Linked DNA regions of Stegostoma tigrinum. The protein of the gene in region 1 purifies or fractionates together with the protein of each later gene. This does not show direct contact. Links are inferred from orthologs where the notes say so. Each region holds a gene or a part of one and is shown on either strand. Other genes may lie near its edges. The genes, in order: pus10 and abitram.

Region 1 (15,650 bases):
ACCCAGCAAACTGAGGCAAATAAATAATAAGTGGGACAGAAACCTACACTTCACCAGAGGCGCACTGATGATGTTACCTAGCAGAGTGACGAAACTTCTGCAAACAAACACACCAGCTCAGTGAGCAAGTCTACAACCTTGTTGAACTCCTCTGTAGATAAGAAACTTACCTGTCTCAGCCTTGTGCATGTTCAATGCCCTACATTGTATCGCACTCTTGGCACAGAGAATTTCAAAAATTTACAACTCTCTGACAAAAGAAATTTGCCTTCTACTCCGCGTTAAAGGGGAGTTTCTTTTGCTTTTCAAACTCTGGCCCTCAAAGTCTAGATTACCCAATGACAGGAAACATCCCTCAACTCTGTCTAACAGTGTACTCTGTTAAGTCCCTTCCGAATCTTATATGTTTCGATGAGACACTGTTATTCTTTTAAACCCCAGAGTATAAGCTAAACCTCTTCAAACTTTCCTCATCTGTTCACCCTTGGAATCAAACCAGTGAATCTTCTCTGAACTAGCTCTATTACAAATATATCACTCCTTAAATGAGGGGAACAAATTTGAATGCATTACTCTAGGTGTGGTCTCAATAATGTGGTGTACAATTTGTTGTAAATCTGCACAAAGTTTACAAAATTGTTACATTCAGGGATTGACTCTTTAATTTAGGGTGAACTGGAGAAATGAAGGGGTCAATTGTCTTGTTCTTAATCGTGACTGACAACAAGCTAAAGATGCTTGGTTGTTAAAGATTGAAGATGGGGGCACAAATTGTTGAACTGAGAAAAAAAATGCAGGATGTTCACACCTCTAAATAGTTACCGATACAGCTGTTTTCACAATGGACAAACTGTTAGTCTCCAAGATTGACAGGAAAATTTTTGGAGGTCAGGTTTTATAAATGGTTATACAGAAGGAACAAGCAGGGGCATACACCTTCTAAAGGACAGGAAAGACCGCAACCAGCCCTCATGTACGTGAAATAACGCGGTGTGGAGCTGGATGAACACAGCAGGCCAAGCAGCATCAGAGGAGCAGGAAGGCTGACATTTCGGGTCTAGACCCTTCTTCAGAAATGGGGGAGGGGAAGGGGGATCTCAAATAAATAGGGAGAGAGGGGGAGGCAGATAAAAGTGGGATAGAGGAGAGGATAGGTGGAGAGGAGGCTGACAGGTCAAAGAGGCGAAGATGGAGCCAGTAAAGGTGAGTGTAGGTGAGGAGTTGGGGAGGAGCTAGGTCAGTCCAGGGAGGTCGGAGAGGTCAAGGGGGCAGGATGCAGTTAGTAGGTAGGAGATGGGGGTGGGGCTTGAGGTGGGAGGAGGGGATAGGTGGGAGGAAGGACAGGTTAGGGAGGTGGGAACAAGCTGGACTGGTTTTGGGATGCAGTAGGGGGAGGGGAGATTTTGACGCTTATGAAGTCCACATTGACACCATTGGGCAAGCGGAATATGAGTTGCTGTTCCTGCAACCTTCAGGTAGCATCGTTGTGGCAATGCAGGAGGTCCAGGATGAACATGTCATCTGAGGAATGGGAGGAGGAGTTGAAATGGTTGGCGACTGGGAGGTGCAGTTGTTTAGTATGAACCAATCGTAGGTGTTCTGCAACGCGGTCCCCAAGCCTCTGCTTGATTTTCCCAATGTAGAGGAGGCCACAACGGGAACAGCGGATACAGTATACCACATTAGCAGATGTGCAGGTGAACATCTGCTCGATGTGGAAAGTCTTCTTGGGGCCTGGGATGGGGGTGAGGGAGGAGATGTAGGGGCAGTTGTAGCACTTCCTGCAGTTGCAGGGAAAAGTGTCGGGTGTGGTGGGGCTGGAGGGGAGTGTGGAGCGGACAAGGGAGTCACGGAGAAAGTAGCCCTCCAGAAAGCAGATAACGGTGGGGAGGGAAAAATGTCTTTGGTGGTGGGGTCGGATTGCAGATGGCAGAAGTGTCAGAGGATGATGCGTTGGATCTGAAGGTTAGTGGGGTGGTACGTGAGAATGAGAGGGATTCTGTTTTGGTTGTTATTGCGGGGAGGGGGTGTGAGGGATGAGTAGCAGGAAATGTGGGAGACATGGTCGAGGGCATTCTTGACCAAATTTGGTGGGGGGGAGGGGGCGGGGTTTGCAGTCCTGGAAAAACAAGGACATCTGAGATGTACAGGAGTGGAATGCCTCATCCTGGGAGCAGATGCAGCGGAGGTGAAGGAATTGGGAAGGGGGGGATGGCATTTTTGAAGCAAGGTGGGTGGGAGGAGGTGTATTCTAGGTAGCTGTGGGAGTTGGTGGGCTTGAAATGGATATCAGTTTCCAGGTCATTGCCAGAGATGAAAACAGAGAGGTGCAGGAATGAGGGAGAGGTATCAGAGATGGTCCAGGTGAATTTAAGGTTGGTGTGGAAGGTGTTGGTGAAGTGGATGAACTGTTCGAACTCCTCGTAGGAGCATGGTTTTGCCATCTGGAATTGGATGTTGGCAGCACTGACAGACTGCCAAATGGATTATTGAAAGATTTATGATATCCAGCTCAGCCATAATCAATATGTCACTGTCAGCATTATTTATACCCTAATCCTTGCCTCAGTGAATCTTGATGAAGTCCTCAATACCATTTCAAAAGCAAAAACAAGAATCATCCTTCTGGGGATTTTTTTAAAGGTTGACTGTGACTTCAAAGTCTGTAGCAAGACGATTGGAAAAAATGGATTAGGATTAGCCAAAATAAACAGTAATCTCCTGCTGACAAATGCACTCAGTGCGGCATCATTACAGCATACATCATCTTCTACCAGTCCGCAGATACAAAAATAACACAGACATATCTCTGGGATGACTATCATATTGTATGTGATATTTATTTCCACTTGAGGCATCAGTTCATGTATCTTGTTAAAAATGCTGCAAAAATTCAAATAAAGAGCTTGAAAAATGAGCAACCTTTATCGCCTGGAAGAACATTAAAATATCACAAGTCAGTAATCTAACATCTCAAAGGTTATGCCCGAAGACATATTTGGAAGCTCAATGACTTGTGGTAGGAAGAAAAGGTATGCAAGATCCTCAACAGTTTGCTGAATATCATTACCTGCAAAGCTCTTTTTGAACCCACCAGGACCATTGATAAATACGAAAATTTGTAATCTAAAATTGACAAAATGCTTTTTGGTCTCTTCTCAAGAATGACAAACCCATTAATCTTCACTTAAAACAACTGCTGAACTGTGAATCCACAGCAGATATTAATAACCTTCAAGCTACCTGCCAATACCATGTGTTAGAATCCATGGCTCAGTCACCAATGGAAGAGCTACAACAGGTTATCCAAAGAATGAAAAGCAACAAAGCCTGTGGCTCCAGAGGTACTCCCACTGAGGCCTTCAAAGCTGCTGGGCTTACGTTCACATCAAGATTCCATATGCTCATTCTATGGTCCGGCAGAGAAAAACAAATAATTCTCTCGCCTCATCTCCCCACAACTTCACGAATGCAACATTTATGGCTACCTATAATAAGGAAAATGAATCATGTTGTGAAACTGTAGGGTTATTTCCATTTGTCTGGAGCAGGGAAAATCCTGACATGGATTCTCCTGAATGACATACTTCCTGTGGCAGACAAAATCCTTGCAGAGATATAGGGTGGCTTGAAAACTTGTAAAGGAACCCCTGACATGGTCTTTCTTATCAGACAAACCCAAGAAAGATGTTGAGAATAGCACCAGGAACTCTTTGTTGCATTCACTGACCAGACCAAACTATCTAACACAGTAAATTGTGAGGTTCTATGGATCAGAATGTCCAAAAAAAAATCACAATCCTGCAATGATCATGATGATGTGAATATAACTAACTACCTTAAGGGGAAGATCTGAAACAGATGCTTTCAAAATCCTAACTGGAGTCAAGCAAGGCTGTATGTTACCTCTCATACGATCTATAATATGCCTAACAGTAGATACTCACAGATAAACTGCATTCCAATGTCAATATTAAATATTGCCTGGACAGAAATCTCTTAAAATCTCTGTACCAAAGTTGTCTCTGTGCCAAAACTAAACTAACCATCATAATCATACACAATTTATACTTTGCAGATGACTGCAACGTTGCTGCCTATTCTGCATCAAAATTTGCAATTCTACAACCAAGAAATTTGACTGGCCCTTGAACTTTGCCAAAACAAAACTAATATCAACTCTCAACTGGTCAGCAAAATATTCTACCTCCCATACACATTGAAGGGCAGTCACTGAAATATATTAAGCATTTCCCATAATGTGACAGCCACCCCTCTCAAAAGGCAACCATTGATGAAAAGATCCCACACTGGGTCAGCTACATCAGCTTAGCCTTTTACAAACCGTGGTGAGCGTTTGATAACAAAGACCTGCCGAAGTCAAAATAGGTCTTAGAATGCACAGCAGCTACTGTCACCACACTAATGTTCTGCAGTGAGAACTGGACTATGATCAGCAGTACACAAGAGTACTAGATAAACACCATCAGCGATACCTCTGCATTAATTCAATACTTTTATTCCCTCTGCAGCAAATGCAGGTAGAATATATTTCTTTGAAGTCTCTTGCATTTTCTGGGTGCTTTTTTAAATTCTCCAGTCTTGCCTAAGACATCAACATTTACTTCAGCTATCCACTTCCACTTTGTATACACAGAATCTATTAGTGTATGTTTCCTGTCTCAAGCTAGTTTATTCTCAATTTATTTTATCTTTGTAAAAAGAAAACATCTTTTACCGGATTTGTAAACTTTTCTCAATCTTCTGGTCTACCCCGGATCATTGCAACATGGTATTATTTTTCTTTTAATTGCATCCTTACTTCTCCAGTTAGCCATCTGTCATGTGGAGTTTCTCTCTCTCATTGGAATATATGTTTGTCGAGCATTATGAATAGCTTCCTTAAATGCTCACTACCATCTTACTTTCTAACTTATTTTCTGTCCTCCTTAGCCAATTCTGCTCAGACTCTTGTACAAAGCTCTTGACAGACCAAGTTTGGAAATTTGTGAGCAGTTTAGGAAGGATGTGCTGGCCTTGGGGATGGTCCAGAGGAGGTTTACAAAATTGATCCTAGAATGAAGGGTTTTCATATGAAGAGTGTTTAAGGATCTAGGTCTGTACTTGAGTTTAGAAGGATGGGCGGGGGGGGGGGGGGTTTATGTATCTGATTTAGACCAATGTAATGCTGAGAGGACTGGATAGAGTGGCTATGGAAAAGACGTTTCCACTAGTAGGAGAAACTTGGACCCGACAGCACAGCCTCAGAGTGAAGGGATGACCCTTTAGAACTGAGCTACTGTGACAGTACAATGCCATGAGGAGGCATTTCTTCAGCCAGAGGGTGGTGAATCTATGGTTTCATTGCTACAGAGGGCTGTAGAGGCCGCATGGTTGAATGTATTTAAGACAGAGTTAGATAGGTTCTCGATTAGTTAGGAGATCAAAGGTTACTGGGAGAATTGAGTTGAGAAACATAATCAACCATGATGGAATGGCAGAGCAGACTTGATGGGCTGAATGGAGTAATTATTTTCCTGTATCTTATGGTGATGTTCCCATGTATCTGCTGTCCTTGTCCTGTCAGATGGTAGCGGTTGTGGGTTTGGAAGGTGCTGTCTAAGGACCCATGTTGAATTTCTGCAATGCATTTAGTTGATCGTACACACTATGGCTACTGAGCATTGCTGGCGGTGTGACTGAATGGTCATGGACATGGTGCCAAACAAGCAGACTGTTTTGTCCTGGGTGTTGTCAAGCTACACTCATCCAGGCAAGTCAGGAGCATACAGTTACATTCCTGGCTTGTGCCAAGAAGATGGTCAACAGGACTTTGGGGAATCAGGAACAACTTACTTACTGTGGCATTCCTTGCCTCTGACCTGCTCTTTTGGCCACAGTATTTGCATGACAAGTCTAGTTCAGTTTCTGGTCATTGCTAACCAGCTGGATTTTGATAGTAACGACATTGTGATAGGTACACCACTGAAAACCAACAGACAGTGATAGATTGGAAATGGTCACTGCCTGGCATTTGTCTCGCGCAAATGTTATTTGCTAGTTTTCAGCCGAAGCCTGGATACTGACCATGTCTTGTTGCATTTGGACATGCTCTGCTTCAGTATGCGAGGAGTTATGGAGGGTACATTGTGTAATCATCACAGACGACCTAATGAAGAAGGAGAGGTCACTGATGAATCAGCTGATCTGTGGGCCTATGACACTGCTCTGAGGAACTGCGGCAGTGATGACCCGAAACTGAGATGACTAACCTCCAAGAACTACCACCATCTTACTTTGTGTCATTATACAGAAAAATCGACCCAACTTGTTTTTTTTTTTAAAATCACTCATGATTTTAATCTCCATCTTCCCATCAATCATTGCCAAGACACCACCATTGGATATTTGTTTCCAATGCTGGTACTTAACTATCTTTCTCTATCTAATTCAACTTAACAATCCTTCTGATTCCTGAAATTCTACTCTCAATCAAACACACCCATTTGATTTTCTATCCATCCACGCATTTCTACAGCCCCAGGTATTCAATGTATAAAGGCACTGGTCCAAGCATGGTTCACATGAAGCCTATCCCAGTGGAAAAGCTAAAGTATTGTGCCAGTGTTTTATCAATTGAAACCCATCTTTCCCACAACAATTTCTGGAGTCCTACATTCAATCCCCTGATCAGTGACCCTGTGCCAGTTTGTTTGTGATTGAGTTAGTAATCTAGAGCTTACTGTATTTGTAGTTGATTTTAAATTAGCCAATGGCTGCTAAACTTCCATGTTCCTACCTATGATGACGATGCCTACGTGGACCACAATAATTGGATCAATGCCCTTGCTGTTCAAGGTTCCTTTCCTGTCCCCGATGAGCTTAATCCTGGCAAAGGGCAGGCAACCCAGCCTCTAAAGCTTATACTCCTGACTGCAAAGAACAGTAGCTATCCCCCATACAGTTCATACCAATCCTACTTTCTCTTTTCTTCCTTCAACTTATACAGCATACTATGAAAGAGAAATCATATCACAGAATAATATAATCCCTACAGTGTGGAAAACAACCCCTTAGGCCCAACAATCCACACCGACTCTCAAAGCACCCACCCAAACCCAATCCACTCTAACCCACCTAATCTACAAATCTCTGAACACTACGGACAATTTAACATTACCAATCGACCGGAGGAAACTGGACCACCGGGAGGAAACCCACACAGACACGAGGAGAATGTGCAAACTCCAAACAGACAGTGGGCAGAGGGTGGAATTGAACCCGTGTTCCTGGCGCTGTGAGGCAGCAGTGCTAACCACTGTGTCACCATACCGCCCCACAAATATAATCCCTCAGGATCAATCTTATCCCATCAACACAATCTTTATAATCAGTGACCACCATTGCAGTCAAATAGTATACTACTACACACTGGGCAAATTCCTTCTTTGTCAATCCGTTCATAACCAAAGAGTCACATGTGACTATTACTGTTCTTGGACCATTAGCTCTGTTGTTCCTCAAGCATTTATCCTTAGCCCTCTTCTAGTTCTCATAAACACACTGCTTCTTGGGATATCATTCAAAAGCACAAAGTGCAAGAATAGGCACTTTCCCTCTGAGCTATGCAATACGATTATAGTTTATCTATGATCTCGCTCCACCTTTCGACACTACCTAGCGTACCCCAATTCCTTTAGCACCTAAATATCTACTCACTGTTTTGAATATAGTCAACAATTGTCTGCAGCTACCTGGGATGGCATCGCTGTCCGTTGAAAGAAGAAATTTCTCATTTCACTGCTAAGTTATTGAATCATACAGTTATAGAGGACGGAAACAGACCTTTTGGTCCAAGTCGTCTGTGCAACCAGACATCATAACTGATCTGGTCCCAGTTTTTTTACCAGCATTTGGCCCATGTCCCTCTAAACCATTCCTATTCATTTACCTATCCATGTACACTTTAACTGGTGTAATTGTACTCACCTTCACCAACTCGCACAGCAGTTCATTCCATGCCTACACCACTGTCTGTGTAAAAGCACTGCCCTCCCCTGCCAGGGGCATTCTTTTCTCTGCATCCATCCTGGCAAGCTCATTAAGAATGATTTGTGTTTCTATTTCATCAGATCTAATTCCTTTAAATGCCAGGGAATAAAGGTCTACTTCTGTTAATCTCTTCTCATAGGACAATTCCTCATCACGGAAAGCAATCTATTAAACTTCTGATACATTCTAACTATGACACACTGACAAGACACACTTTCCTCAAACTAAAACTGCTCACAGTTTTCCAGATATACCCCCGTATAACTGAGGTGAGATACCTTTACTCTAAAATTCCAAGCCCTTTGTAATAAATAGCGATACACCATTTCCCTACATATGTTACTTGCTGTTCTGCTTGTTAACATTCTGAGATTCAGGACTTTTAAAATGACTTCAACAGTCTAGATGGATAACTTTTCACTTTGTCAACTTCTATTCATGCATTAGCTTTCACGTGTGCACTAATGGCATCCAGGTCAACTTCACTCGCACCTCCAGTATCTAAATTGTCACACAGCTCGTCCAAAATTCAATACTAAAAGGACAGACATTTAAACCATCGAAATATTGCTAAATCCAAGATTATGATTTTGTTATTAATGTTTTTGTAGCTGAACAGTTTCTGTAGTATAGAAATTTCTGACTCTCTATATAGTTATGTTGCAATTCCCGAATGTCGATTTCATTGCTCAATGTTGCTTCCAACCTTCATTCAACAAAAAGCCCAGTGGGAACTGATTACTCCCGAAGCATATTGGTTTCATTATCGGAGCACCTTATAAAATTCGTATCCATCACAAATTACACCGCATTAAAAGGTTGACTAACTTTACAATCCTACTGTTCAGAGCAGAAGAGGAATTTGCAGCTTTTCGGGGGTTTGGAGCACAACAAGCGGTGGCAATGTCGGGTGAAGTCACCCCACACTGGGCCTAGCCATTGATGTTCCCTCCGAAATGTTGAATGTTTGTTACTTTTAAACTTTACGGAGTACATTTAGCGCGGTGACTTCTGAAAAAAAAGCTTAAAATGAAGAAATGCTGGGAACAACTCGTTAGCATTTCGAATAATTCTCTAAACCTCTATCCAACTTGCTCAATCACATCACAGACACCTGCCACACTCCACTTGGCAAGTGCCGCTGTTATGATTTTGAAATCGGATTCGGTTCGAAAGACGATGATATTTTAAGAGTTCACTGTGGGTTTTTTTCTTAAGCGGAAATGCCATTAAGGCTTCACACCGAGCCACGGCCGTGCACATCATGATCACCGAATAACACTTACTGGAAAGAGGGGGCACTCAGGTTTCCCGGGATCCGTCTTTCCCAGGGTTTCGCTGGCGGCTGCGACCCCATAATCTTCAGAAAAACATACGCTCGGAATGACCTCTCGGCCCCTCAGCTTCACTCCCATCAGAAATAGCAAATAGGACAGAGGGTGACATCCGGACAGACACAGCGGCCAACAGAAGAAGAGGATACATCCAGACAAGACAATAATAGCCAATAAGACACAGGGATATATCCGGAAAGACATTATACCCAATAGGATAAGTGGATACAACCAGACAAACACTGCAGCCAACAAAAAAGGGTGATACGGCAAGACGGACGGTAGTACCCAATAGAATACATTGATACATCGGACAGGCATAACAACCAATACAACATGGAAATGCATCCTGTCAAACACTGCAGCCAATAGAAAACAGGGATACACACAGCTCGGCACAGTAGCCAATAGGACAGAGACATGCGCTGAAGCACTAACCAATGGGCTCTCGGGATAGATTCGAACTCGGAGTCATGAACTTGCAGCAAGTCAGAAAGCAGTCTCTGCGTCTGTCTGTAATCACTTCCGGCATTGGACTGTGGCTGTGGACTTGTGAGTTTACTGATGTATCGCTATATTTAACTTTTGTTTGTTCTGAGGACCAAGTCATTTGACTGAATACATTATAGTTTACCTATATCAGTCTTTTCTTTATGAAAGAAAAGATTTAACGCTAGTTAAATAATTGCAAAGTCTCCTAAGGCATGTGCAGGAAGATGTAAGTCTGTGGTGTCTTGCAGTGCTTGTTATTTTTATAGACTTTTCAATAGTCGTTTAAAACAGGTTGTTTAATCTGAAGTCGTTTCTTTTACTGTAGAAAAATTTTGATTCTTGTATGTAGAATTGATTTTTCTGTATCTTGTCTGGTCTTTTTTTTTTGCATTGTCGTATATATGTTCATTTTGTTCCTCCTACCAATTCTTCAATTACCCTTCATAAGATGAAGGAGCAGAAATTAGGTCATTCGGCCCATCAAGTCTGCTGTGCCATTCAATCATGGCTGATAAGTTCCTCCATCCTATTCTCCTGCTTTCTCCCCATATCCCTTGATAAACCAGAACTTATCTATCTCAGTCTTAAATGTACTCAATGACCTGGTCTCCACAGCCTTCTGTGGCAGTGAATTCCATAGATTCACCACTCTCTGGCTGAAGAAGTTTCTCCTTGTCTCTACTTTAAAAGATCTTCGCTTTACTCTAAGGCTGTGCCCTTGGGTCCTAGACTCTCCTACAAATGGAAGCATCTTCCCAACATCCACCTTGTCCAGGCTATTCAGTATTTTGACAGTTTCAATTAGATTCCCCATCCTTCTAAACTCCAATGAGTGTAGTCCCAGAGTCCTCAAATGTTCCTTTATATGTTAAGCTTTCCATTCGTGTGAACCTCCTCTGAACCCGCTCCAGGGCCAGTACATCCTTCCTGAGACGTGGGGCCCAAAACTGCACACAATACACAAAAAGTGGCCTAGCCGGTGCCTTTTAAAACCTTGGTAATTCATCCCTGCTTTTACATTCAAGTCCTGTCAAAATAAATGCCAACATTGCATTTACCTTCCTGACTACTGACTCACCCTGCAAGTTTACCTTGAGAGACTTCTGGACTAGAACTCCCAAATCTCTTTGCACTTCAGACTTCTGAATTTTCTCCTCATTTTAGAAAATAGTCCATGCTTTTGTTGTTCTTACCAAAGCGTATGACCTCTCACTTTCCCACGTTGTACTCCATCTACCACTTCCTTGTCCACTCTCCTAACGTGTCCAAGACCTTCTGCAGTCTCCCCACCTCCTCAATACTACCTGTCCCTCCACCTATCTTTGTAACATCTGCAAACTTAGCCAGAATGCCCACAGTTCCTTCATCTAGATCATTTAAAGTACAAACTGAAGAGTTGTGGTCCCAGCACCAACCCCTGCGGAACATCACTAGTCACCGGCTGCCATCCCAAGAAAGACCCCTTTATCCCCAATCCCTGCTTTCTACCAGACAGCTAATCTTCTATTCATGCTAGCACCTTGCCTCTAAAATCGTGGGCCCTTATCTTACTTAGCAGTCTCCTGTGTGGCACCTTATCAAAGGTCTTCTTGAAGTCCGGGTAGATAGCATCCATTGGTTCTCCTTGGTCTACCCTGCTTGTTACTTCCTCAAAGAATTCTGGCAGATGTGTCAGGTATGATCTCCCTTTGATGAAACCATGCTGACTTTGCCCTATTTTACTATATAATTCCAAATATTCAGAAATCTCATCCTTGACAATGGACTCCAAATTTTACCCACGACTGAGTTTAGGCTAATCGGACTGTAATTTTCCGTCTTTTGCCTTACTCCCCTTTTAAACAGGGTCACGTTAGTGATTTTTTCCAGTCCTCTGTGACCCTCCCTGACTCTCGTGATTCCTGAAAGATCACCACTAACACTTCCACTATCTCTTCAGCTATCTCCTTTAGAACTCTGGGGTGTAGCCCATCTGGTCCAGGTGATTTATCCACCTTCAGGCCAGTCAGTTTTTCTAGCGCCTTTTCCTTGGTGATGGAGCTGAATATGGAGGCTGTCTCCTGACTCTTGAATTTTTAGGATATTACTGGTGTCTTCTACCATGAAGACTGATGTGAAGTAATTCAGTTTCTCAGCCATTTCCTTGTTTCCCACTACTATCTCTCCACTGTCATTTTTCAGTGGTTCAGTGTCCACTTTTGTTTCTCTTTTGCCCTTTGTATACCTAAGAAAATCTTACAGTCTTCATTTATATTACTGGCTAGCCTGCCCTCACATTTAATCTTTTCCCTCCTTAGTTTTTTTTTTGTTGTTGCCCCCTGTTCATCTTTGTAAGCTTCCCAGTCCTCCGATTTCCCACTGCCCTTCTTGACATTATATGCTTTCTCTTTCTTTTGTTTTTATGCTATCCCTGACTTCCTTAGTCAGCCATAGTTGCCTCATCCTCCCTGTACCATGCTTCTTTTTCCTAGGGATGAATTTTTGCTGTATCTCCTGAAGTACTCCCAGAAACTTCTGCCAGTGCTTATTCCACTGTCTTTCCTGCGAGGCTCCTCTTCTAGCCAATTCTGCCCAGGTCCTCCCTCATACCTCTGTAGTCATCTTTATTCAGCTGTAATACCATTAGCTCTGATTCTATCTTCTCTCTCTCTCTCAAATTGCAGTGTAAATTCTATCATCTTATGATCTCTGCCTCCTCAGGGTTCCTTTACCTTAAGCTCCCTCGTCAAGTCTGCCTCATTGCACAATACGTGTTATTGAGCATTTGCAGAAAAACACTTTATGTTAATGAGATTGCATTAGTAATTAAACACTTCAAAAACAGTAGTCAGGATGTTGAGATATCAACTCATTACGGTCAGTTGTAAGAGGAGTTCAGAGTGACTGTTTGACACAGGTTTAGAATGAAAGCGTAATACTGCACTATCGTGCCTCCTGACTTGCTGTAGTCCTGTGATATCCACCATGAGACACTTATAGAGGTAATCAGTTCAGTTCAATAAAGACTCTTACTACAAGCCAAGGAGCACAGAAATGTTCAAAGCTGCGAAAAACAACAGGAAGCTACGGAAAAAGAACAAAGAAGGGAATCACGTTAGAAGGCACTGGATGAGGCACCATGCTGCATCTTTACTCTCCTGGTATCAGTTAAAACGAAATATAATATGAAGCAAATCTGACAGCTTTTTTTCATTTGCTTGCAAAATTAAAAAATTGCAGCAGATTTAATTTACAAGCCAAAGCAGCTACAAGTATCTCCGTTTTTTTTATCTCTATGGAGAGACTTGTGAATTATATTCTAACCTAAACCTCTCTAAAGAACAAAAAATATTAGAGAGCAGAAATTTTGAAAACCTGAAGTTACACCATGAACCTCAATTGATGATCAATATATTCAGCATTAAGGCCTATGTCTAAAAGTGTCCATTGATTAAATAGGTGGCTGCAGAATGACACTCTTGAGTCTTGTGAATTGAGAAAACAGGGCGGTACAGTGGCTCAGTGGTTAGCACTGCTGCCTCACAACTCTAGGGACCTGGGTGGAGTTTGCACATTCTCCCTGTGTCTGTCTGTGTTTCCTCCAGGTGTCCGGGTTTCCTCTCAGTCAAAAGATGTGCAGGGTAGGTGGATTGGCCATGCTAAATTGCCCATAGTGTCCAGAGGTGTGTACGTTAGGTGGATTATCCATGGGAAATGCAGGGGTAGGGGAATGGGTCTGGGTGGAATACTCTTTGGAGGGCCACTGTGGAATTGTTGGGCCAAATGGCTTGTTTCCACACCGCAGGGATAGTATGATTCTATGATGATTATGTAATTGAGTCAAGATATGTTTCTCCTTTCTGGAAAGTGATTAACATGTACAGAAATGTGGAGTGTTTAAATCAACACCAAGAGCATATTTATGACAGAACAAACTAGGCCTTTTGGGTATTGTCTTGACAGGTATTCCAGGAAGAGAGAGCAGAGGTAAAGAGCAAGTTGCAACTACATCACACAAAGCAAAATAAGGCATATCCAATTTGAGGTACGTAGTGTTCTTTCTACAGGAAGCAAAATGATTTTGTGGAAGTGTTTGATTAGAAAGAAGTAGAATGAGCAGGTGCAGATGGCCGCTGGAGAGATATCTGCATAGAATTCTGAAGAATCACTCTAAACCATTGAACATGTTAGTTCATTTGTCAGTGTATGATTAATGGTTTGTAACTATTGGGATGATGACTGCAGAAGGAGAATAACAAGTGATTCTGCAGTGTGAGATACACAATGGCGCATCATGAACTTGAGAGGCTTGTGTGAAATGACAACTCAATGATTCTCTTAAGTTGAAAAGTGAAGCTCTCAAAAGTAAAGTCGAGGCTGTATGATGGCACCACACTCATGCTGAGAGAAGAACTTACTTTGATTTGATTTGTTTTATTGTTGTCACGTGTACTCAAGTACGGTGAAAAGTTTTTTGTTTTGCGAGCATTTCAAGCAGATCATAATACTCAAGAACATATAGATCATAGGGTATTTGGATAGAGTGAGGCACACAGATACGTCTGCACAGAAGATGTGTTAAAGCAAGATCAATATTAGATTTGAAATTAGAAAAGTCCACTTAGTGATCAAATAACAGCAGAGAAGAAGTTATCCTTGAACGTGTATCTGTATCTTCTGTCTGACGGAAGAGGTTTGAAGACAGTATTACTGGGGTGGGAGGAATCTTGGATGGCATTGGCAGCATTTCTGTGGCAACGTGACGTGTAGATGGAGTCCTTGGATGGGAGGTTTGTTTTCATGGTGATCTGGGCTGTGTACACAACTTCCTGTAGCTTTTTCTAGGCCTGGGCAGAGCAGTTGCCATACAAGCCATTATGCACCCAGATAGAATGCTTTTTGTGGTGCAACTGTAAAAGTTGGTGAGGTTCTTATGGACTTGTCGGATTTCCAGAGCCATCTGAAGAAGGAAAGGCATTATACTGCTGCCTTGACTGTCAGATCCATGAGGGAGGTGCAGGACAGATTGTTGGTTATTGTTACTCCTACGAACTTGACGCTGTCCACCTCTGCACCATTGATGTAGATAGTGGCGTGTCTTTCTCCTTCCTTTCTGAAGTCATTGATCAGTTCTCTTGTTTTGTTGTACAATGGCATTGGGGCCCAAAACAAGCAGCAGTCATCAAGATCAAGCAACTAACAAGGTAATGGAGTTGACAAAGTGTTATATACATGACGAAGGCAGCCCACAGTGTGATGCCAGCAGGACAGGGCTTGGCGTATCCCTCGTGTAACAAGGACAACAAGCTGTATTTGGATCCAGTGCATTTATGCAAACAAAATGAATATATGCTCAGATCAAGATGTTGCCTGGGTGACTACCTTTGCTCGTGATCATTTTCATTAACACCTAATTGGAAGAGACAAGATGAGTTTGAATCTAGCCACAAACTGCTTCAAACTATTTTGCACAAGGCACTACTATTTACTTCAGAGTATCTGCATAACATGTTAGCCTGGTCACAGAGATACTATGTGAATGTGACATACAAGCAAAGGAAACAGATGTACATCACTGACCAAGCTGCAGACGGCAGATCTCCTTTTTATGACTAATGTAGAGGATGATGTGAGAGAGTGGATTTAGAAGATTTCACAATGTTATATGAAGTCTGTTCTGGAAGTCATCAGCTCAGCAAAGACATTGAATCTATTTTTCTGAATCAACCTGTTCAGAGATGTTATTTATACGCCTCTGGAGCAGATGGGACTCGAACCTGGGCTCCTCAGTTC
Region 2 (15,546 bases), on another chromosome or scaffold:
AGGACCTTCAGTGAATTTCTACGGTGCATCTTGTAGATAGTAACACTGTTGCTACTGAGTGTTGGTGGTAGAGGGAGTAGATGCTTGTGGATGTCGTGCTAATCACACAGGCTGCTTTGTACTGGACGGTGTCAAGCTTCTTGAGAGTTGTTGGAGCTGTACTCATCCAGACAAGTGGGCAGTAATGCATCATATTCCTAATTGTGCATCGGAATACAGTGTGGAAAATTGTGAGGTTTGATATGCACTTTGATAGGAAGAATAGAGACATAGACTATTTTATAATTGGGGAAAGGCTTCAGAAATGAGAAGCACAAAGGAACTTGGGAGTCCTACTTCAGGATTCTTTTCAGGTTAACATGCAGGTTCAGTTGGCAATTAGGAAGCCAATTGCCATGTTAGCATTCATTTTGCGAGGGCTGCTTCCAAGACCAGGGATGTACTGCTGATACTGTAAAAGGTCAGACTGCATTTAGAATATTGTGAGATGTCTTAGGCCCAGTATTTAAAGAAGGATGCTTGGCATTGGAGGGAGTCAAAAATGAGCCCGGGCATGAAGGCTTGTCATAAGAGTAGCAGTTGAGGATGCTGGATCTGTACTCGAAGGAGTTTTGAAAGATGAGTGGGGATCTCATTGAAGCTTACAGAATGCTGACAGGCCTGGATATAGTAGATGTGGAGAATATGTTTCCACTTTAGAAGAGACCAAACCTTGAGGGCATAGCCTCAGAGTGGAGGGACAACCCTTTCAAACTGAGATAAGGAAGAATTTCTTCAGCCAGAGTGTGGTTAATGTGTGGAACTCATTACTGCAGGAGGTGTGGAGGCTAAGCCATTGAATGTATTTAAGACAGAGACACGTTAATTTGTAAGGGGATCAGAGATTACAGGGAGAAGTTAGGGAGAATGGGGTTAAGAAACATAAAGCCACAAACGAATGGCGGAGAAGATTTGAAAAGCTGAACGGCCTAATTCTGCATCTATATCTTATGGTCTTCCTTAAACAAAGGAGTTATGGCTCATGCAACACAAGTAGCCGAAATGGTTGGTCCTTCAATCTGAGGCTGTGCCCTCAGGTCCTAGTCTCTCATACAAACAGCCTGTCCATATTCTTGTGTAGTCCATCTTTATCCTCAACAGATCACAATAATTACAAGCTTTGTTTAATTTACAAATTTTAAAACTGCGCTCACTCTACAATATCACATATCAAGAAAAGCAACTGTTCAAAGCTACTCTTGTTTCTGTCACTCAGACAACTGTAGTTATGCACTTTCCCTTTTAATCTGTGGGTTTCAAATTTGCTGATAAGCCTATTCTGTGGTGCTCTACTAAAAACATGTAAAATTATAGGTACACCACATCAGCTGCAGTACTGTCACTCACCCTGTCTATTATCTGATCAAAACTCAATCAAGCTGATTAAAAACAATATTCCTTTAACAAGTTCATGTTTGCTTCCTTTAATTACATTTATCCAAGTTGATTAAATCCCAGGATATCATTTGTAAAGGCTTTCCTATCACAGAGGAAAACCTGACTGAGCTGCAGCAGCTGCGTACACCTTTACATGTTAGGAGCCTGGGCCCTCTCCCTGTTACTACTTCCAGAGTGTGGCCTGTATGATCTTGCCTTTGGGCTTTGGGAACTATTGTCTGGGACTTGTGTGTTGGGACATGGCAGCCTAAAGGACTGTGCTGACTGGTGAGGCCGAACAAGTCACTGTCAGGCTCTTTTTCTGCGACTTTTGTGAGAGGCTGTAGTAGTCCTGGTTTGGGAGGCGTGGGTTGGGGCGGTGCGGGAGGGAGGGGGGGGGGGGGGGATGCGATGGTGACAGCGAGGCACTCTAAAACATCTGGGGTAGGACATGAACATTGAGATATGTGCAGTAATTTTGGCGGGGGTACTTGGTGCCCCCACCATTGTTGCTGCACCGAAGGTGTATGGAAAGGTAGTGTTGTTCCTGAAGACTGAGCAGGCGGGGCACCTTGCCCTGGGGAAGGGGCTTACTGTTGGTGGGAAGCTCTTGCCTGTCGACCCTCTGGAAGTAGTTTCTTAGAAGGTTATTTTATTGAACGTCACTCCCATCTGAGCTCCTTCTCTCCCATTTTGGCCAGCCTGGGGAGGTGAGGTTGGGCGTGGTGCCCCTAACTACTCAGACTGAAGGAGACTTGCCTGAGACATATTTACTCCTTATAGTGACAGGTTTTTGCCTGCCTGGCCTGGGAGGAGGTCACGGAGGGTACTTTCACGGTTGAGCACAAAAGTGCTGCTTACCCAGGTGTTCTGGTCAGCAGACAGTGTGCGGTGTCATGCCTGCAAGGCGGTGGGGCACCTCCAGAGGAACTGCCCTGCCTCGAAGGCTGCTGCCAACACCTACATGGGCTGCAGTTGGCATCACCACCCATCACCTCTTGATGCCTCCATGCCCCCTCGGTCCCTGCAAGAGGGAGGTACCTCGTTCTGGGCACCAGTAGGGTGGTCAGGGGCAACCTCCTGGGAGGATTCCCTGGGTAACCCTGAGGCTGTCAGCTCCCAGCCTGGAGAGGGATCCCTCTCACAGGATAGCAGGCCCAGGCCTGTCAGGAGACAGTAGGATCTGGAGCCTCACCTATTGCCTGTCAGTGAAAAGAAGTACGAATGAGCAGATGGTGTCCCCAGATCCCCCAGCCCCCTGCATGCCCTGAAACGCGTGGGGGCGAGGTGAAACAGACAACATTTTCAAGGAAGGGGGCATCAGGACAGTGGAGAAATGGAGGCGTCTCTCACTCCTGCATTCTCCCGATAAAGGTGCCACTCCTCAGGGCCCAGCACTAACAACAAATGCCCCTTGGGAAGGAGGGAGTAGCATCCCCTGGAAGTCCCTCTTCCCTCCTTGCTAGGGGAGGGGGACATGAACCCGCCTCTGCAGTCCACCTCAACTGGGCCAGGCATCTCAGAGGCTGAGGTGAGCATGGCCGCTGAGGTCTTGTCCATACCACAGGAACTGGAAGGCCTAAAAGTGCTGCCTGTGCTGGCAGGGGACTGCGGTGGGATTAGTTACCCTGAGGGCACCCTGGATGGCAGCTACAAAGCAGCAGGCCTCCTTGCCTCCACCCAGGCTTTTATGTCGGGCACCTCTGCCCCAAGTGAAGATCATTTCCCAGATACAGATGGTGACACGGCGCTGGGAGTAGAGCAGGTTTCTGAACCGCTGCCACCCAGGGGTCCGACATTTCAGTCAACCTTTTAGTTGAGTCTGGCATAACCCGAGACTTGGATCTCCCTGCAAAGGATGCTCCAACTGTTAGGCTTGGGGGTGGGGCTGAGGCATGGGATGTGTCTGACAGGTGATCCTGGTTACCCCCTGCATTTGATGTGGGGGAGGAGCCAGAGTAGGACGTGATGGCCTGGAGGAGGACTGAGCATTGGTCAAAAGCACTGCCGAGGTAGATGAGGCAGAGAATGATGTGGTGCTTGTGGACGAGGTCCCCCTCATCCCCAATGGGGAACTCCAGGACATTTTGCAAGCTGTGCTTGGTCACTGAGATAGAGTTCAGTTGGCTATGGATCGGTGGAATTCTCTACCACTTCTGGGCATGTCTGCCCAGCAGCAATTGGCAGCCCTGGGAATGGACAAGAATGCGAAGCACTGGTGCAAAGGACTCCTTTACTGCGCCCTCAGGGTGCAAGGGAGAAAGGAGTCCCTCCGCCTGCTCAGTAAGTTGGTCTTCATTGTTCTAACTGGTGGTGATGGCACATACTGCAGCCATGAAGACAGCCAGAGCTAGCCTCAACGTCAACGGCAGTGGGAAGGCCCAGCTGAGATTTCATATTTTTTGCTCCTCAGGGAATGAAAGGATGTAGTGAGCATCCTGCAGGAAACCCATACGGTCTCAGGAGACAAAGATATGTGGCTTGTGGAGTGGTGGGGAAGGGTCTTCATGAATCATCTGGCCTCTGATTATGGTGGGGTGGCTATCTTATTGGCCCTTTTTACCAGCCAGAGATCTTGAGGGTCAAGGAGCATGAGCCAGGTGGCCTCCCGTAACTCATGGTTCGTTTCAGAAGCATGGTGCTTCACTTCACAAATGTATACATGCCTTGGATGGGACCTGAGCAGATGTGCTTCTTCGAGGGAGAGTCTACTACCCTTCGCTCCATTGGTGAGGGTGAAGTAATCTTTTTCAGGGGAGATTTCAACTGTCCCCTTGAGAGGTGGGACCATGGCAGTACCCAGAAGAGTTCAGTATTACTGGGGAAGTTGGGGAACTTAGTTAAGACCTTTGACTCAGTGGATGTCTGGCAAAGTCTTCATCCCGATTCCATTGCTTTCATCAGTGTGTCCAGAAATGACCACCTCTACATTTCCAGGGCATAGGCCTCCTGTGTTCTGAAGGCCTCCATGCGGCAAGTGCCATTTTCCGTTCACGACTTTTTCTGGGCTGAACGTGTTCCGTTCGGCATCAGGGCAAGCTCGGCATAATGGCACTTTAACAACTATTTAATAACTGCTGGAGGACAGGCAGTTCTGGGACTCATTTCATCACTTCTGGACAGGCTATGGAGAAAGAAGTGCTGGGCTTCCCCTCCTTGAGGCTACAGTGGGATGTGACAAGACACACATCTGTGCCATCTGTCAGCAGTACATGTCAGGGTTGATGAAGGAACGGATAAAATCAAGGGGTTTGGAGAAGGAGATGCTCAACCTGGAGTCAGATCTCGGTCAGCCTGATGTGGACCCGACCCTGTGGGAAAAGAAAATGGAGACACTCCAGGATGTGCATCTTACTGGGTCCCGGGGTCCATACGGGAGATTGTGGGTCCACATCCTTCGGAATCTTGACCATGGCTTCGCCTTCTTTTACTTGCCGGTGAAAAGGCACGGAGTCTGTCAGCAGCTCTTTGTGCTGCTAGTCGGCGATGGATCCCTCTTCTTGGATCCAGTGGGCATCAGGGCCAAGTGACAGATGATTACGGGGTCCTCTTCTCTCCAGATCCAGCAAGGAAGCTTGCAAAGTTTTGTGGGAGGACTTACCACAGGTCAGCCCCAAGGGTCCCGAGAGGCTTGATGCCCCTCTGAGTGTGAAGGAGCTGACCGATGCCCTCGATGGTCATTCCTGGGGCAAGTCCCCAGGGCTGGACGGGCTGATTGCAGAGTTTTTCAGGGCATTCTGGGACATGCTGGGGGTGAAGAGAGGCAACTACATGCCGATCCTGGAGGAATGAATCGCAACCAGAGAAATGTGTCTTTCTGGGCGCAAGGCCGCCATCACTGTGCCTAAGAAAGGGGATCACTGTTTGTTTGTATTGGCATCTGGTCTCTCTCCTCAGCACGAGCTACAAAATCTTTGCCAGGGTATTTTTAACTCGCTGTGGCACTGTGCTAGATCACATGATCCATTCGGATCAGTCCTAAAGTGTCCTAGGGCGGAGTGTCCCCAGCAACATCCATCTGATCCAGGATGTGATCCATTATTCACAGAGGGCTGGCCTGTCGAGCACTGTTCTCTCTCTTGATCGGGAAAAGGCATTCGATAGAGTGGATCACAAGTATCTGCTTGGAACTCTGTGAATATTCAGGTTCGGAATGCACTCTGCTGCCTAGATCTGACTTCTGCACGCTACCATGGAGTGCCTAGTGAAGGTTACTGGATCCCTGATGGTGCTCCTGTGCTTTGGGAAAGGATTGCGTCAAGGCTGCCCCCTGTCCCGCCAGCTTTATTCTTACTGCCTGGAGCTGTTCCTCCACCTCCTACGTAAGCAGCATTTGGGTTTGGCTCTGCATGGGCCAGGGCAAGAGGTGGTTCTTTTGGCATATGTCAATGATGTGCTCCTTCTGTTCACAGGCCCAGCTGACCTGGAGGATGCACAAGTGCCAGGAGGTCTCTGGTGTTCTCTGCAATGATCAACTGGAGCAAATCAGGAGTTCTGATCAGTCCCTGGCAGATGGACATTTTGCCGGAGGAGCTCCGGTGCTTCACATGGAGTACCACTCACCTCCTCTACCTAGGAATCTGCCTTTGTTCTCATGAGGAATCCTCGCCAGTAAACTGGCATGAATTGGAGACCAAGGTGACCACTCACCTCACACGCTGGACAGGACAGGGTACAAGTGCTGGTCATAAGCCAGCTGATGGCCACTGTGTTGTGGTACTGGCTGGTCACTTTGGTCCCTCTGCCTGGCTTTGTCCAGAAATAGCTCATCAAGTTTTCCAAGGACAAGAGGCAACACTGGCTCGCTGCTACGGTCCTAAGTTTCCCGCTTGAGGAAGGTGGTCAGGTGCTTGTTTGCCTTCGCGTCCAGGGAGCGACTTTCTACCTTCACATCTTGCAGCAATACCTTTACGTTCTGCTCCCTCCAAGATAGTGTGCCCTGATGACATACATTTTTCCATCAGGTGTGTGGCCTCCATTACAACATGCAGTTGCTGTCCGTGGAGTGGTCCCAGCCTCGGGTCTTCTTCCAGGAGTTGCCTGCCTTCAATCTGAACCTGATCAATCGTGTGGGGCACGGTTGGCTTGTGCTGGAGTTCTCCTGCTACAGCAGTGGCGGGTCTCGTTGGGAAGCTGCTGCACAGGAGGTTTCCTCCTCGAGCGCGACTTGCACTGGCCAAGGTAGGAGAGAGTTCAGGATTCAGGGCGAACCAGAGTCAGGGCACGCGCTGGATGGCAAAGGAGCGGGCTGAGTAACATCAGCATCGTTGACTGTAAGGGCATCAATCCATCTCTGGTTTGTGACCCAAGCCATCTGGAGCCTGATGGACAAGGCACTCGGCCATGACACCTCGTGTACACTTGCAGCTCCTCAGGCGTGCATTGGGCTTCTGGACAAATTGACCCCTGTCCATCCTGAACTTGACACTGGCCCCGTGCTGCGGACCCTCCCCCATGACTTTGTGTCCCACAGTCTGAGCCATCTCAGCAATGTCCGTCTGATGGCCTTTTAGACAGCACAGAGGCATTATTTGTACAAGTTGATGCTGCACACTCTTCATTGCTGTGCCTTCATCTGCCGCCCAGGCTCGCCTTGGCATAATCTTTTGCCCTCCGGTGGTAGAGATCTCCAATGGAGGGCCCTCTATAAAGGTGTCTTCCACTCTCACATCAGAGATGCGGGGCGGAGAGTGCTGCACATTGGCGGTCCGGTGCTACCGGCAAATGTGTAAGTTTACCAGGTGCCAGTCCACATGCATGTTCTGTGGCCTGAAGGAGGCAGTGTTGCACATTTATATCAAGTGCATACATCAGCAGCCCAGTTTTAGTTTCTTTAAGGATCTGCTGTTAAAATTTGGTTGCATTTCAACCTCACACTCCTGATCAATGGGCATCAAGCAGAGGGAGTGGCAGACACGTGGATGAGCCTTCTTGTGGCTTTGCTTCTGGGCCTGGCCAAGATGGCCATCAACTAAGTCCAGGCAACAGACTTAAAAGGGGCTCATTGTTCCTACTGTTTGACCCCTTTTGTGGTTACACCCATGCTGGGGCATTCCTGGAGAGGTAGTGCGTTGTGCGTTGTGCTCACCGGCATGGTTGAGACTGCTGGGCGCCATGGGGCCTGGAGTGCATTATAGGCCTGAATGATGATATTCTGATTTAGTTAATTGTGTAAGTCTCCATTTTGTGTTTGCATTTGTTTATGGTTTGGTGCCCAGGGAAGAGAACTGTCTTATTTTTAATCTGTTCCGATTTTGAACCCCTTGGAAGAGCCAAAGCTTCTGTTTTAGCTCTGTACTGGCCCTGTTCCAGATGTGCTTGATGGGGATCAGTCTGAGGGGAATTTTATCTTTATTTGAAATGAGCAAGGGAACATCCTCTGGATTTTAGATTAGATTCCCTACAGTGTGGAAACAGGCCCTTCAGCCCAACAAGTCCACACTGCCCCTTGAAGCATCCGACCCAGGCCCAACCCCTAAACAACTACAGGCAACTTAGCATGGCCAATCCACCTAGCCTGCACATCTTTGGACTGTGGGAGGAAACCCACACAGACAGTTACCCAAGGCTGGAATCGAACCCAGGTCCCTGGCACTGTGAGGCTGCAGTGCTAACCAATGAGCCACCCTGCCGCCCACCATTTTTAAACCATTGTTGTCCCTGTCCCAGGAGTGCTCACTGGGGACAAAGCACAGCGGATTTATTTATGTAATTGGTTATTTGTTTATTTGATTATTTGCTTTCTTTGATTTTGCTTTTGTTTATTTTACTTTGGTCCCCTGTGGTTCCTGCCCAAAAGTGGTTGGTGGGGACAGAGTCAAGGTAGAGCCATTTTTTGCTTGTGTATTTGTTTTTGTTTCTCCCCAGAGTAATTCCTTTGTCAAATAGAAATCAAGTCACGGTAGCTTTATTTTCTGTTCTGAAAGAGCAGAATGGGCTCTGGCCTGGTTAGCACAGACAAGATGGACCGAAAGGTCTCTTTCCGTGCTGTGCATCTCTGAGTGACTGACATAAAATACTTCTCCGCGTTCAGTGCAACTTTTCTAGGCCCAGAAGCTGCAGTGTCTTTTCGTTATCAGCAGATTCAAATAATCACACCTTTAGAATCGGACGGTTTATCCGCTACATTTGTTGCAGTTCCCCCAGGAGACTGCATGGTGAACTTATACATTATAGCTACCTGCCAAAAGTGAAATGTAGCAAGCATCCTTCATTAACAACAACAGAAAATACCGGAAAAACTGAGCGGGTCCGGCAGCATTTGAAGCACAGTTCGATTCCGAGATTCCCCCCTACAGAACAGTATAAAAGTTTTGATTTTTTGCACAGCAATTAGTTGTGAAGTACCAAACATAACCAAGCGCCTGGAACTGGAACAAACACATAGCATCAAGAATCCAACAGGCACTTCCGTTGTGTTGCTAGGAGACGGTACTGACTTCCGGCGTGATGGAGGTGGAGGAGGCGCAGGCTCAGACCTATCCCTCAATGGTGGATCGCTACTTTCGTCGCTGGTATAAGACAGGTAGGTGGCTCTGTCACTGCTGGTACAAGGCAGGGTGGGTGCCTCTGTCACTGCGGAGCCTCGGCCGAGGTGCTGCTGCTGATGGAGCCTTGTCCTGGGTGGGGGAGATTTCCGCCAACCCCGACGGAAGGCCCCAACACCCGGGCGGTGGAATTGGCTCCGACCGAAGAACGGGCGCCGTATTCAGCGGGAGCGGTTAAGACCCCAGCCTGAATTTGCGAGCACCAGACTGACACTGGTTTCCAAATTGGGGACGAGAAGACAATAAACCATAATCCTATCTAAAAGGCTAGAAGGTGGGGATTAGGTTTCCTTTCGCAGAAATTCAGGGGAATAGTCTGGATTTCTATGGGAACACAGCCTAAACTCAGCCCAAAGTTCAGCTCTGATTGTAAGAATTCCATTGTATCTGATGAGATTTTTAATTTTGAGATGGTGTGGCAAAACTGCCAGACTATATGGACTCTGTTGATGGGCAGCTGCTGTTTTCTTCCTATTATTTATGTTATGATGAAATGGTTAGTAGAAAATAACTTGATTAAAATGCATAAGGTTTCCTTATTCAGCCTGCCTCTATGGAATTTTCACAGAGGTGGATAGTGCAGACTCACATCAAATTTGAGGGAAAATAATTCTAACTGCTTCAAAACATTGTAACTCAGTATCTTGAGTCTCAATGTATTGTGACTTGACATTGCCTCGGAAGCTTTTTGGATGTCCCAAGAATGTAAACACTAAATCTGTGAAATTTCAATCTTGTAAATGTATATGGATAGGGTGAGTAAGGAAAAATCTGGCTGTGTATAAGATGGGAAAAGTGCAGTTGTGAGCTTTTGACTGGAAGAATAAGAAAAAGCAGTAAATCTCAAAAAGAGAGCAGCTTTGGAATTCTGTGGTGCAAAGGGATTTGGATGTCTTTGTGCCTAAGTAACAGGTTAGTATGTAGGTGTGACAGAATCAAGAAGGCTAATAGAATGCTGTCATCTATTGAGTAATTGAACATGAAGGGTTGATGTGTTTCAGTTACATTGAGCATTGGTGTGTTGTAGAGGCAGAGATGTACAGTGTGGAAACATACCCTTCTGTCCAACTTGTCTGACCAGATGTCCTAAATTAATCTAGTGCCATTTGCCAACTTTTTGCCCCTATTCTTCTTAAATCCTTCTTTCTCTTATACCCATCCAGATGCCTCTTGAATGTTGTTATTGTACCAGCCTTCCCCCACTTCCTCTGGCAGCTCATTTCATACATGCAGCACCCTCTGTGTGAAAAGGTTGACCTTTAGGCCCCTTTTTAAATCTTTCCTCTTTCACCTTAAACCTATGCCCTCTAGTTCTGGACTTCCCCCAACCAGCGAGAGGACCTTAGGGGCACGAATAGATGACTAGCTATGATTTTATAAAACTCAGCCTATGACGCTCTGAGGATAATAGACCCAGCCTATTCAGCCTCTGCCCATAGCTCAAGCCATCCAATCCTGGCAACATTCCCCAGGGCCTTACCATAATGTGTATAAGTCCTGCCCTGATTGGACTTTCCAAAATGCAGTACCTCCCATTTATCTAAATTAAGCTCCATCTGCCACTTCTTTGCTGTCCACTACACCACCAATTTTGGTGTTTTCTACAAACTTCCTAACTACGCCTCCAATGTTCACATCCAAATCGTTTTCATAAATGATGAAAAGCAGTAGACCCAGGACCGATCCTTGTGCCACACTGGAGGGGAACTTGCATGGTGGTGTTTCCATGTATCTGTTGCTCTTGTTCTTCTAAATGATAGTGGTCACTGGTTTGGAAGATGCTGTCTAAGAAACCTTGGTGAATCAAGAACTGGAAGGTCAAGTTTGTGAATAAGTTCAGATTTTGATGAGGGGAGAAAAAGTAATGTGTGGGGGTGATGGGAAGACACGAGGACACAGGGCATGTAGGTTATAAAATGAGTGAATTTAATAGGAAGATGTAATTTAAATAAAGACAATAGAATATAATAACTTTGCACTATGTACTGCTATGAGGCATTTTTAAAAAAACAGCTTTGCAATTTTTGACGAGTTTTTTTCTTTGTTCCAGATGTTAAAGGGAAACCGTGTGAAGATCATTGTATCTTACACCATTCTAATAGGTGGGTGTATATGATGTATTGCTATTGCAACTTCATAAAGAATAGTGCAATATTGTACGTTGTCATCTTACCATCATCACTAATTATCATTGCTGATAATGACAGCTGCAGGCAACCACACATGTGCAGTCATTGGGCGATGCACAGTTCCAAGCCCTGACATCACCTGCACTTTGTGTAATGTCATGTGTAAATGCATTACTGCGCATACACAGGCAAGTGCACATGCTTTTGAAGTGGGCTTTAGTGGTATGAAGGCGGAGACAAGACACGATATTTGGTGGTGTGAAGAGGGATACGATGGGGAATTCCTAGAGGGAGAAGAGAAAGAGGATCTGGGAGCTGGGGGAGAAGTTTTGTGTGTGCACAAGGACAGCCAAAGGGTAGCAGGCCTCGTCACCCCATCTGCTGGCCTCTCATCACCCTACCCCTCTCATTTTCTCCTGGATCCCAATCTTCCTGTCCCTTTCTCTTCCTGTGTTTATAATGTCTGACCAGGAACCAAAGAAATTAAATTGCTGCTATCAAATGCAGAGCAATGGGGGATCCTTAGTTTGGGTGGAAGGTCAGTTAAATGTAGGTTTTAGGACTTTGCAGTTCAGCTTTCAGAATTTAAGGATTCAGAAACACTGATTTGTGTGAATTTCTTTCTTTTCTGGGAATCAAAAAAAAAGTCTTCACTGAGGTCTCTTCAGCTGATTTTCATTCAGGATTGTTGTTAAGCAATAGTAGCATGGATCCTAGGATTTTTCTAAGTTGGTTTTCTTTTATAGACTTAATGGCTTGACAATCTCTTGTCTGTCTTAAAAGTCTTGGTTTGTATCCTCCAGTAAGCTACCCTTGTGGGTCTTCTGTTTTAACTTTTTTAACTTCTCACTTCCAAGAAATCACAAAGCCTCTTCAACACAATGACATCCAAACAGTTCCATTGTCTAATTTTGCATTGTTAAAGGTACACATATATAGATTAAGTGGTTAGTGCTGTGGAAGTCATTTGGGAGAGGACCTTAGTTTTCAGGGTGTTCAGTGCCTAGCCTGTTGCTTATATGTTGGCAGTGAGCTGAAACTTATTTTCTCAATGCAGACCTGTGTACTGAATTCAGTGACTGAAGTGATTTTGGTTTAGGATTGCAGATGGTGTAGGTCGAACAGCTTCCGCTCTGTTCTGTAGACCCTCTCCATGCCTTTGGGCAGTCTTATTTAGGAAAAGAATATTAATGGGTTGTGGCCATCACTTACTAGGCCTACATTTATTGTCCATTCCTAATTGCTCTGGGGAAGATGGTTGTGAGCTGCTTTCCTAAATTGCTACAATGCTGCAGTCCTTTGAATGTAGAGATCCTCACAGTGCTATTAGCTAAGGAGTTCCAGGATTTTGAGCCAGTAACAGTGGAGGAATAGCAGTATGGTTTTAAGTCAGGCTGAATTGTGCTCCTGGAGGGAGATTTGTAAGTGGTGCTGCTACCATGTATTTGCTGCTTCGTCCAACTAGGTAGTAAGACGGCACAAGTTTGGAAGTTAGTGTCAGAGGAGGCTTGGGGAATTCCTGTTGTCTATTTTTTTAGATGGTTTATTGTACAGCCAATGTGCAGTGGTGGAGTACGTAAGTGCTTAGGGTGGTGGATGGATTGTAAACTAAGCAGGCTGATTTGTCTTTAATGGTCTTGTTAGTGCCCTAGGCAGTGTGCCACACTTGCTGGATAGATGCCTGTGTTACAGCTGTATTGAAACATCTTGTTAAATGGCACTTCTAGTCCTCGAGCACGTTTTCAGTACTGTTGCTAGAACGTTGTCAGCCTTTACAGCATGCAGTGCCTTCATTCAGCTGTTTCTTGCTATCATGTGGAGTAAATAAATGGTTCAAAACTGGGTACTGGGTCCTTTTCAGAAGGGTGAAGCTGAGTTGGTATTGGAATGAGAAAGATGTAAAAGAGGGTTGCTGCAGTGATTGTAGCTGCCTTTGATCTTCACAGGGCAGCCACATTTAAGGAGAATACTTCATAAGCCATCACAGTTGACAGTAAACGGCTTCTTTTGAAATGTCATCTTGTTGGTATGCATTATTTTAATTTCATGCAGGAGGTGTGTGTTCCAGAGATACTGATTTCTTTTATTAGAAATAGCTGTTGCACCTCAGTCTGAATCAAATTATTGGAATTACTAATTTAACTGAATAACACAAAGATACAAGTAGCAGTGATTTCCTGTGATCTGAGCTAACGTATGTAGTTGTTTGACAATAGGTAAATTGAGGAGCAATTTAGACAGAATGGGCTAAATACATTTTCCTTTTGTATTTGTATATGTAATACTTTTAAATGTATTTATGAAATCTGATGTAAAGAATTAAAACTGGGTTCCAAAGCATGCAGTTAGACCATTAGCTCATATTATGAAATACCTAGCATTTGTGCTAAGTGAGAATCGTTTTTTTTACATTAAGTCTCTGTATAAGGGAAATTAATCCTACATAACAATAGTCTAAGAAAACACAAGTAATTAATTTTACACTGAGTTTTCATCCTTAAATTTAAAAATGTAGTTCAAGGTTGACTCACTAGTACAAGTTATTGGATTTAAATTTCTCTCCAGGGTCTTAACATTATCACTGAAGTGGACCGAGTTTAATGGCCTGCCATATTACTCATACAGCATTACAAAGAATAGTTTTGTTTACTAATGTTCTGGCTAACACTTTACTCTTAACCAACCCAATAAGGGTAATCCATTAACTAGAAAACAATTCATAATTTTTGTAGGACCTTGTCAAATGTAAATGTTTCTTTTACCAAATACCAGTAATAACTGTACATCAAAAGTAAATAATAGTAATGACTACACTTCAAAATTAGTGTAGTTTTTATCATTCCAAAGAAATGATTTGATGCTAATTAAATGGAAGTTGACTTTTGATTTATGTTCTTGAAAGGGCAATTTAGTTATCTTGTTATTACTGATCCATCTTAACCATGCCAATATATGTAAGTGATCACTAATGATAGCTTTAGAACCATAGTAATTGGCACATGATAATCCACATGACTAAATATGGTGCAGAGCTGGATGAACACAGCAGGCCCAGCAGCATCAGAGGCGTTGGAATGCTGACGTTTCGGGCCTAGACCCTTCTTCAGATGTGGGTCTGAAGATTGGTCTAGGCCCAAAACTTCAGCCTTTCTGCTCCTTTGCTGCTTGGCCTGCTGTGTTCATCCAACTTTATACCTTGGTATCTCAGATTTTCCAGCATCTGCAGTTCCTACTATGTCTGACTAAATATTGTTGTTGGACTCCTGACATATAGAATATAGCACTTATTCTAGCATTGGAAGTATGTAGGCTGTTCTTTTTATCTGCTTTTGAGCTCTAATTCATGCCACTCTTGATTATGACAGGATATGTGTCATCACACTGGCAGAATCTCACCCTCTGTTACAGAGTGGGAAAGAAATAAAAAATATAAGCTACCAGATCAGTGCCAATTGTAGTCGACTACAAAACAAGGTTTCAGGAAAATCTAAACGGGTATGTTTGATCTTTTTTTATTTATTTGAATTCCTTCCCTCTCAATCCCTTAGCCATGACCTCAGACGTAGAAGTGATAGAATGACAGGCAGTGTTGTTGTAAGTGTGTGCTTTTGAATAAATGATATTGAAACATTTTATTTCTTGGAATGTTATTTACATCCATCGTCACCATTTTTTAAAAAAATGGTCTGCCATTTCAGTCGTGGGTTTCAGCAGGATTTTTTTAAAAAATATGCTTTGTCAGTGATCTCCTATGTTTCTAGATCTAAGACCTAAAGATTTTGGAAAGTATACATGGGAGCAAAATGAAGACTTATCAAAAAAATTTCAGTTAATCCTAAGTAACTTGGATCTGTACATGTCACACATCACACGCCTCTTGTTTCTGTTTGTGATTCTGATGGAGTTTTATTTTAGATGTTTGTTTGAAAACTTGTATTTTTGTAAAGGAGCTGAAGCTGATACATGTGTCTTATCAAATTATTTTCATACTATGTAGCTTTAGTTGTCGTACAGTGATGGTTCCATTGATTTGTTTTATTGCAATAATCCGTAAGCCAATTTTGATTTGTAAATGTTGTAAAGCACATCCATTCTCCAAAGTGTGCTCTCTTTTTCACCCCATGTTTCTATATTATACAATTGTATCCTTAAACTGAACTGGATATTTCATGTAGCATTTTCAGTTTGTTATTAAATTTCTTGGAAGACCCAATCTTTGTGAATACGTTTTCTGAAATTTGCTGTAATTTCACATTTAATATTACTTGCAGACTCCAAAAGATTATTATTATCTCATCTGGGCACAAGTCAGGAGTTTGGGGAGGACGCCCCACTTTCCTGAATGAGTGTGCCTCCAACAACACTCAAAAGGCTTGATACTGTCCAGGAAAATTAGCCTGCTTGAATGACAGCACACTTACAAGCATTCAGTCCCTCCACCACCACCAGTGTTT

What was found.
Region 2: the proteins of pus10 (region 1) and abitram purify together in Homo sapiens (affinity purification with mass spectrometry; 3 studies listed by BioGRID and IntAct, counting the BioPlex papers as one, with this or other methods). This does not show direct contact. The link is inferred for Stegostoma tigrinum from reciprocal best matches to the Homo sapiens genes PUS10 and ABITRAM.

Annotation. Positions count from the first base shown.
Region 1 is NC_081362.1:41,431,526-41,447,175, forward strand, and holds the start of pus10 (putative tRNA pseudouridine synthase Pus10), read left to right. Parts: upstream 1-9,858; 5' UTR 9,859-9,938; intron 9,939-9,945; exon of another isoform or gene 9,946-10,104; intron 10,105-13,820; 5' UTR 13,821-13,902; intron 13,903-15,650. Other genes in the region: pex13 (peroxisome biogenesis factor 13), read right to left, coding at 9,339-9,409. UniProt on the Homo sapiens protein: Protein with different functions depending on its subcellular location: involved in miRNA processing in the nucleus and acts as a tRNA pseudouridylate synthase in the cytoplasm.
Region 2 is NC_081355.1:106,693,309-106,708,854, reverse strand, and holds the start of abitram (protein Abitram), read left to right. Parts: upstream 1-8,851; 5' UTR 8,852-8,865; coding exon 8,866-8,941; intron 8,942-11,013; coding exon 11,014-11,065; intron 11,066-14,457; coding exon 14,458-14,587; intron 14,588-15,546. UniProt on the Homo sapiens protein: Actin-binding protein that regulates actin polymerization, filopodia dynamics and increases the branching of proximal dendrites of developing neurons.